2 linked regions of the Arabidopsis thaliana genome follow. The protein of the gene in region 1 interacts with the protein of each later gene in a pairwise test. Each region holds a gene or a part of one and is shown in the gene's direction. Other genes may lie near its edges.

Evidence for each region.
Region 2: the proteins of AT5G04160 (region 1) and AT2G35470 interact in a two-hybrid assay, tested with the Arabidopsis thaliana proteins (one large-scale study listed by BioGRID).

Annotation. Positions count from the first base shown.
Region 1 is NC_003076.8:1,141,999-1,146,671, reverse strand, and holds AT5G04160 (Nucleotide-sugar transporter family protein), read left to right. Parts: upstream 1-1,663; 5' UTR 1,664-1,894; coding exon 1,895-2,344; intron 2,345-2,813; coding exon 2,814-2,917; intron 2,918-3,172; coding exon 3,173-3,401; intron 3,402-3,492; coding exon 3,493-3,639; 3' UTR 3,640-3,937; downstream 3,938-4,673. Other genes in the region: AT5G04170 (Calcium-binding EF-hand family protein), read right to left, coding at 1-14, 376-1,093. UniProt on the Arabidopsis thaliana protein: UDP-glucuronic acid transporter that modulates the polysaccharide composition of seed mucilage. Transports UDP-glucuronic acid (UDP-GlcA) and UDP-galacturonic acid (UDP-GalA) in vitro.
Region 2 is NC_003071.7:14,907,940-14,911,777, reverse strand, and holds AT2G35470 (ribosome maturation factor), read left to right. Parts: upstream 1-1,914; 5' UTR 1,915-2,057; coding exon 2,058-2,358; intron 2,359-2,467; coding exon 2,468-2,512; intron 2,513-2,606; coding exon 2,607-2,764; 3' UTR 2,765-3,291; downstream 3,292-3,838. Other genes in the region: AT2G35480 (envelope glycoprotein), read right to left, coding at 9-465, 1,118-1,248.

The DNA of each region.
Region 1 (4,673 bases):
AAACTCCTTAGGTCCTGCAACATGTAGACTTCACAAGTCAGTAAAGAACACCAATTCAAAACCAGAACTAAATGATTATTTATGACTTCAACTAGAACTAAAATAATGAAACCAAATGATTCAACAAGATCATAGAGACAGTGGGATACTCTTTTGCACGTAATTAAAGGAGAAGTCCACAAATATTGTTAATTTTGCCAACATGGTAATAGAAAAACCCTGACGATATGACCCAAAGTATGAATCTTTTGAGTTTTGCATCTTAGACAGATAATAACGATACTGAACAAGAATCATAGAGATAAAAAACTTCAGAAACTAACAATCCTTGTTGAATCTAAAGCAAATTTGGGTCAAATCAATCAGAAAACTCACCGATTTTCATAGCATTGCTATTGGTGAATAGATACATAAGAAGATGAACAGTTCTCATACTGAATCTCTGTTGATAAGAAGAGAGAGCTCCTTGAAGCTCCTTATCATCAATAAAGCCACTACCATCTTGATCTGCAGCCTGAAAGCAAGCCACTATATTCGGATCTGTCCCCGGAGCAAAACCTGACGGAATCAGAGAAGCAAAAGGACTTCCATAAGAGGCTTGCGGAGGATAACCTCCGTATCCGCCACCGTGACCAGAAGACGCTGGACGAGGTGGAGCACCACCGTAACTTCCATAGTCAGAAACCCCATGCGGTGGAGTAGCTCCGTATCCTCCACCGTGCCCAGACGGCTGCGACGGACGAGGTCCAGCACCGTAACTTCCGTAATCTGAAGATCCAGACGGTGGTGGAGCTCCGTAGCCTCCTCCGTATGGTTTCTCCTTTGGCGGCTTGTTGTAGTCTCCTGGAGAAGGCGCGTACGGAGCTGAAGGAGGCGGTGCTCCGTATGATGAAGATCCGTACGTCGGCGCAGAAGAGGATGATGATTGTGGTTTAGATGCGCCGTAGGGTACAGCGTAAGGAGAAGAGGTTGTTGATGATCCGTAGGGAGGATTGTTTCCGCCGGAAGAGTAAGGTGGTTGAGGTGGTGGAGGTTGATTACCGCCGCCGTAACCGTAACCGTAACCTTGGCTAGTCGGAGGATATCCTGACATCGATGAAATGACTTGACAATTAAGAAAACAAAAACCGAAACTTCGAAGAGAGATCAGAAATAAAGGATCTTAAAGTTTTGAGATTTTCGTCGAAAGAGAAAATAAAAATCAAAGCTTTGAATGTGATATTTAGTTGACCTCAAGCTTGTGTCAGATTGTCAAGGACACTCTTGGGAAATTTCTCTCTAATTTCAAACTATTTACAATAATGCCATTGGAATTAGATCTAACCGACACTATAATTAGCGGGGGTTTTAGTTCGGTTTAAGACACTAATTTCGAACGGTTTGATATATTGTATTAGTTCGTTTGATTTGTGTTGTAATTAATTTCAAATAGCCTCAACAGAATTATCTTCATATATTTTATCTTATTAAAATTATCATATTTCATGAAACATAAAAAAATAGTAGTATTATATACTCTTACTTGAATGTAATTTTCTTCACCATAACCTCTAAATCTTTTAACCAAATCCATATAGTTTCACAATACAAATATCGATTTGATAATATCGTCGTTATTTAGGCAACGATTTTGATATTATCTACTTAATTTAATTAACAAGCAAATAATACGTTACAAATACAAGGGTTACTTAGTTAGACATTAATTAATAAAAGCAAAGGCTTAACTTTATTTGTTCATCTAAAAGCTTTTTGTGTCCTTGCCGTTCCATGCTCCAAGTAAGGACCTGATTTCTCTCGTTTTCTCTTTCTCTCTCTCTCTCTCTCATTCTCTCAACGAAATCTCGATCTCGTCGAGGAAGAAGAAGAACCCAGATCAGAAAACATAACAACAATGTCGTCGTCTGCGAAGAAACAAACCCTGTTCATATCGACATTAATCATCTCATGGTACTCTTCAAACATCGGTGTTCTTCTCCTCAACAAGTTCCTTCTCTCGAATTACGGATTCAAATTCCCGATTTTTCTCACAATGTGTCACATGTCCGCTTGCGCTATCCTTAGCTACATCTCCATTGTTTTCCTCAAGCTTGTTCCTCTCCAACATCTCAAATCTCGTTCTCAATTCCTTAAGGTTGCTACTCTCAGCATCGTCTTTTGTGCTTCCGTCGTCGGTGGTAACATCTCCCTTCGTTACCTTCCTGTCTCTTTCAATCAAGCCGTCGGTGCTACGACGCCGTTTTTCACGGCTCTGTTTGCTTATCTTATGACCTTTAAGAGAGAAGCTTGGGTTACTTATGGTGCTCTCGTCCCTGTCGTCGCCGGTGTCGTCATCGCCAGTGGGGTAAGCCTTTTTGTTCTGTTCTCAATTCTCTTAACAATGTCAGTGTTGAATGTTAGGTTTCCTGGACCTCCCTAGATTTGAAATTCATGTTTTTTTTTGGAAAGATCCAATTTGGATTCAGATCACTGATCCGTAAATAGATGTTAATGTTGAAAGACCTAAACTTGGACAAAGGTCTAAACTTTGAAATCAGGGCAAATTTGAGTGTTGTTGTTATCTAAAAAGCTTCAGCCTTTTATGGTTTAATCAGGTGTAGAATTTGGTAGAACATCATTTTGGGATCTAACCTTCCTTATTTCTCCGTAAAGGTGATATCTTTATACTGTTTTTGTACTTCTCTGAAGCTTGTCAAGTGGTTATATCATATCCTTGTTTTGTGTGTTTTGAATTTGTATCATTGTGAAGAGACGATCTTATTGCTATTTTTTGTATGTATGATCTTGATCTAAGTACCAGTTTTACATTGCAGGGTGAGCCAGGATTTCACTGGTTTGGGTTCATAATGTGCATTAGTGCTACTGCGGCAAGAGCCTTTAAATCTGTTCTTCAAGGCATCTTACTTTCTTCAGAGGGGTAAGTAATATATCAGAATATGACCTTGATCTTATCCTAATAGAATTTAAGATTCTGCTAGCAGTTAGATGAGCAAATCAGGAAACTTTTGTCAAATCAAGAAATCTCATAAATGATTGGTTAGGTAGAATGTTGTAATATATCACTTTATCAGGTTAAGATTTTAATTCATAGAATTAGATTGTTAACTACCAAAGATATTCATCTCCACAAACACTAGTGCATCTTTATGTAACTTTTTTGTTCTTCCTGCAGGGAAAAATTGAACTCAATGAATTTGATGTTGTATATGTCTCCCATAGCTGTCATTGCTCTTCTTCCCGTTACGCTATTTATGGAACCAGACGTGATCAGTGTGACCTTGACGCTTGCAAAACAACATCAGTACATGTGGATACTTCTTCTGGTTAACTCTGTCATGGCTTATTCAGCCAATCTGTTGAATTTTCTGGTTACCAAACACACAAGCGCCCTCACCCTCCAGGTAAACCTATTTGCCTCTCCTTTTCTCACAGGAGAGCTCCATCTTGGAGATAACGAGACTAGCAATGTTGATTGTGTTACGCATTGTGCAGGTTCTTGGAAATGCTAAAGGAGCAGTTGCAGTGGTGATTTCTATCTTGATCTTTCAAAACCCGGTTACGGTTATGGGAATTGGCGGGTACTCCATAACCGTCCTTGGGGTGGTTGCTTATGGAGAGACAAAACGCAGATTTAGATGAACTCTCAGACATTAGCAAGTGAGACAACATAGCTTCTCTATGTTTGTTTCTTCATCTGTTCAAGACTCATCCTTAGGACCTGAAATTTTTGGGCATTTAGGAGATGAGAATTTATCAATAGTGATTTTTTGTAACTATTTTATACGCACTTTATCATGTAATATGTATTTGGACTATGTTAGATTTGATGGTGAGATAATCATTTTTGTGTGTTTCCTGGTTGAAATACCATTTTGGTTATTGAACTTATTAATAACAAATATTACTCCAAGCTTACATTTTTTTTAGCAAAAAAAAAAATATTACTCCAAGCTATGAAGGTTTGGCCAATTACGTTTTGCTTAGCCCAAACAAAACTTGTTTTTTGTTGTTTGCTTATTTTAATCATTTAATGTCTCTATATCTTCTTTTTTACTTTCTTTTTGTGAAAAAAAATGACAACATTCAAATGTTTTTTACTCAAAAATTATAATTAAAAAAAAAAACAATTATAGATTGTGAACGCAAATTTTCATGATGTTGTGCATTTTTATAAATGAAATTTTTTTAAGAAGACATGACATTATTATAACTTGTAAACGTTAACATACTGTAAATCTTTAAAATATTTAGAGAAAACTTACTAATGATATATGTTTTCTTATGCATGCTGAGATAATTCTGATTGGAAGATTCTTATAGTAGCTTCCAAAGAGCTTTTTAATATAAATCGATAAATAAGTGGACGGCTTACCAACAATGACAAAAGTTTAGTTTCGATTTACTTTTATGCATTGGAATATAGTTTCTGGCTTGTCGCCGACGTGCAAACCATTATCACATTAACATTCTTTAGGAGGGGAAGATAGTCTTATAGTTTTTAAATACTCTGCTCTCTTCTAACTTCTAATAAAACAATCATTTTTCAACCCCAAAAATAAAATAAAATAAACTCGTGAATGATTGAATCACAAGTCAATTCAAGTTATTTGAATATGGAATATATATTTTTATAACGTGTTTTATTATGTTCTAGCATTTATATATAGGAATTT
Region 2 (3,838 bases), on another chromosome or scaffold:
TGGCGGCTTTATCTCTTCTGCACCATCCACTGCAAAATGTCCTTCCTGATGACGCTGTTGAACCCGCCTCTAGCATAAATTGGTTTAATCAGACTGGATTCACCAACACTGTAAGGCCTGTACTGAGTAGTAGTTCCCGTGGATCTTGGAGGTTTGATCATCATCATCGAAGCAATGGGGTATTTGGACCGAAAGTTCCTCAAGGACATGAACAAGTTCCTATCAACCTCACGGTTCTGAGGAGTCTGCGTGTTAACATGTGGTTTAAGACGGGTTGATTGTAATACTCTTTTCGCCTTGTCTATGCTTGGCTCTGTATTCTTTGGTAGTAGAACCTGAGCCGATGGCTTCATCCGGTCAAGCCCCCGGAGAATCCAGTTTCCAAGATTCCGACCAATAACCATGTCTCTCTGTTGTATGTTCTTGTGGACCCTAAGTGCCATATCAAAGATTTGATAAGTCCTCCTGCATAAAAGGAAGGAAAGAGAGAGAAAGTTAACACACCAATCGTCTCAGTCGGTAATGGAAATCTCAAATACACAACTCAAGACTCGTTTAACAGTAGCATTATCTATACGACTGTATGACCTTAGCATCAACAAATATATTTCCTAGCGACAACTACACTTACAAATCCCAAACGGGCACAATATAAGACTTCAATCCAGGAAACACCAGATGTTCTATCTCTCCCTCTATGAATAAATGCATCATAGCTTCGTGTCACTCTACTCTTGAATCTCACATCGAATGGTTCAAGAGCAATGTATAGAATTACGAAATCACATAAGTAAGTTCAACGAATCAAAACCGTGGAAATAGGACTAGCCTACCTCTTGATTTTACTTAAATCCAACCACTTGCATTGCATTGCATTGCTTAAATCACATTTTTATAGCGATACGGGAGTCAGAACAAAACTAACTGGACAGTAGAAAATCGAAATCAACCTAAACACAATAAACAATCAGAACGATACATCAATAACAAAGCAGTTTCATCAATTGAAGAGGCCAATTCATATACAAAGAAACGTATTTCCAGTCAAACCTAAATCAGAAACAACCAAATCGCAAAATCCACAAAAAGAAAAGCGTAAAGATGAAAGAAACTTCACCGATGCATAAAATCTCGAATCCTTGGATGCTTAGGGCTAACAAGCCGACGCTGGGTCTTCAATGCGAGCCGGTAAGTCCGCCTAATCCCCAAGAAGTAAGCTGTTCCTAGAGCTAACTCCCACAACACCATTACTTTCTACAACTTTCTTCTTCGTCTTCCTCTTTGTCACCTTCTTTCTTCCTCAACGTATTTGAATACAATCTACAATTTTCCTTTGAAAGAGCCGCCAGAAATTTCAATCTCACTCCCATCGGAATCACAGATCCTCCGTTTCTAGTTTAAAGCACCAGGTTGCTTGATCTGCGATACAATCTTGACCGTCCATTTTACTTGTTCGTCAAGATTTTATTTTAAATGTTTTAATGGGCTGGGCTTTTGTAGCCTTGAAATATGCCCATATAGACGAGACGGACAAACTTTTTATGGATAATTTAGGTTTTTGTTCACCAATCATAATTTTTGGTATGCAATGTTTTTTTTTCTTTTTTTTTAGCAATAATTATTATTTTTGTGTGAAGCAATAATAATTTGTTTGCTTGAAACGATAAGATTTATATATATATTCGCTCTAAAAATAGAATAAACTTCAGCAATCAGATTAATCCGAATCAATTCCGTTGGTGTTACAGTTATTCTACACTCTCTATAGATCCCAACCTCTTTCTTTTAAATATTTATATACATCTCTCTTTTTTTGTGAATTTTTTTACTAGATTCCAAAGTAAATGAGTAGCGAATACGACAACTCTCGTTATTAGACAGAGATATATAATAATCGCGTAATAATTATTTCCTATTTAAATATGATAAACTCATGTGTGTGCATATTTACTTTTTATTTACTTATGGGATACTCACCAATATTTATTTGATACGAACCATAACCTTCACTAAGTTTTCTTTCTCTAGCCTCCCTCATCTTTCTCTCTCTGTCGGCGATGCAGAGGATATCGTTAGACTCATCAGCTTCGAAGCTCCATAGCTATGGAGGACGAAAGGACGATACCTACGATATTGATGACTTGAAACCAGCTTCCTCTTCTCCTTCTTCGTCGTCATCCGCAGTAGATTACGACGATCACGAGCTCAAAGACTTTAAGCCGCGACGGTTATCATCGTTGCAATCTCCTTTTGTTACGACGAATCAGAAACAAGAGAAGCTTGTTCACTTCATTCCGATTCTCACTCTCATCTGCTTTATCATCCTTTACCTCACTTCTTACGCTCCGTCTCAATCAGGTTGGCTTCTCCTATTCAAAATCCGACGATCCACCTGTTTTTGATTGATTGATTGATCTTCTCGTGTTTATTGATTTTGATCGGTTTTTCGATTTTGAATTTTTCTCAGATTTGGCTCAGTTTAATGGATTCATGCGTCCTTCGAAACATCTAGGTACATTGCAGATTCGATTCCCATTTCGAATTTTATTTCTGTTGGTAACACATTGAATTTGAGTTCCTGATTTGATTGTTTTGATCTCCACTAGAATCATCCGACGAAAATGGCGACGAAATTTCTGGATTTATCAGAGCCGATACTCTATCCATCCGTAGTAGTGTACGAAACCTACAAGAGACGGAAAGCTTCACGACGAAATCACTTCCCCGTCGCCGGACTTCTCACCGGAAAACCGCCGACTTCTAGCAATCGCAATCTTAATTTTTATTCGTCGCATCGCATGTCGATTTGTTTACTTCCAATTAAAATATTGCGAGTCGCGTTTCTGTTATAACTGATCGAAAGGCAGATAAAATCGAATAAAACCTCGCCGCCGATGAAATTATAACTGTCATGCTAGAGTACGCTGACAGAGGCGTAGGTTAACAGTAGAGTGAAGTAGGAGTAGGTTAGAGTGCGCCTTTAAGAGTAGTTATGCAATCCAGCTGGAATTTTTGGACCGTTACAGTGCCTCGTGCTTCGGATTAATATTCCAGCTGGAAAGAATCGTCGTTGTTGTTCCTCTAGGCATTTACTTGGATTCAGTGAAATCAGAAAATTATTACTACTATGAGGAGTTAAAGTGACCAATCTCCTCTATTCAATAATCGTTTTTAAATATTCCTCTATTTATGAATCAAATTCGATAATCAGCCACATGTATTATTTTTATTGAATTTGAAACTTTTAATCAATTAATTAATTGGTACCAAACCATACTTGTTAAACCGGAATTTATCCAAAAATGAAACTGATGAATTTCATACATTATTTTCTAAAAAATTACATTACACTACTACTAAATTATCATCATAGGTTCAATATATATCCAAATCGATCAAATAATTGCTGAACTAAAACTTAAAGAAGCTGAAGGAATCAAATCTAAAACGTAATGGCAAGTGTTAATGTGTCCGGTTCGTCATATCAACGTGTTAATTAGGGTGCTCCACTTGTGATTAATTTGATCAGGAAAATAATGAAAAAGGACATTTGGTGAGATAAATGATGCCACGCGGTCTGTCATAATGACGACTGTCACTTTAGTCCACAATCATTATCGTGACGCTCCTCTCTCATTCACTTGTACGTGTCAAATAATCATTGGCTTGTTCGGTTAATTACCTTCCACTTTTTAATCTTGTTGACGCAGTTTCCTCTTACTATTTGTTGTTATTTTAAGTGGATTTATGACTTGAAGCCTAAGTTTTGCAAATAGTGTCATTCATAGGATTCGCTTTCTTATAGATATTTAAGCATGATCTCTAATTATATTGTTTC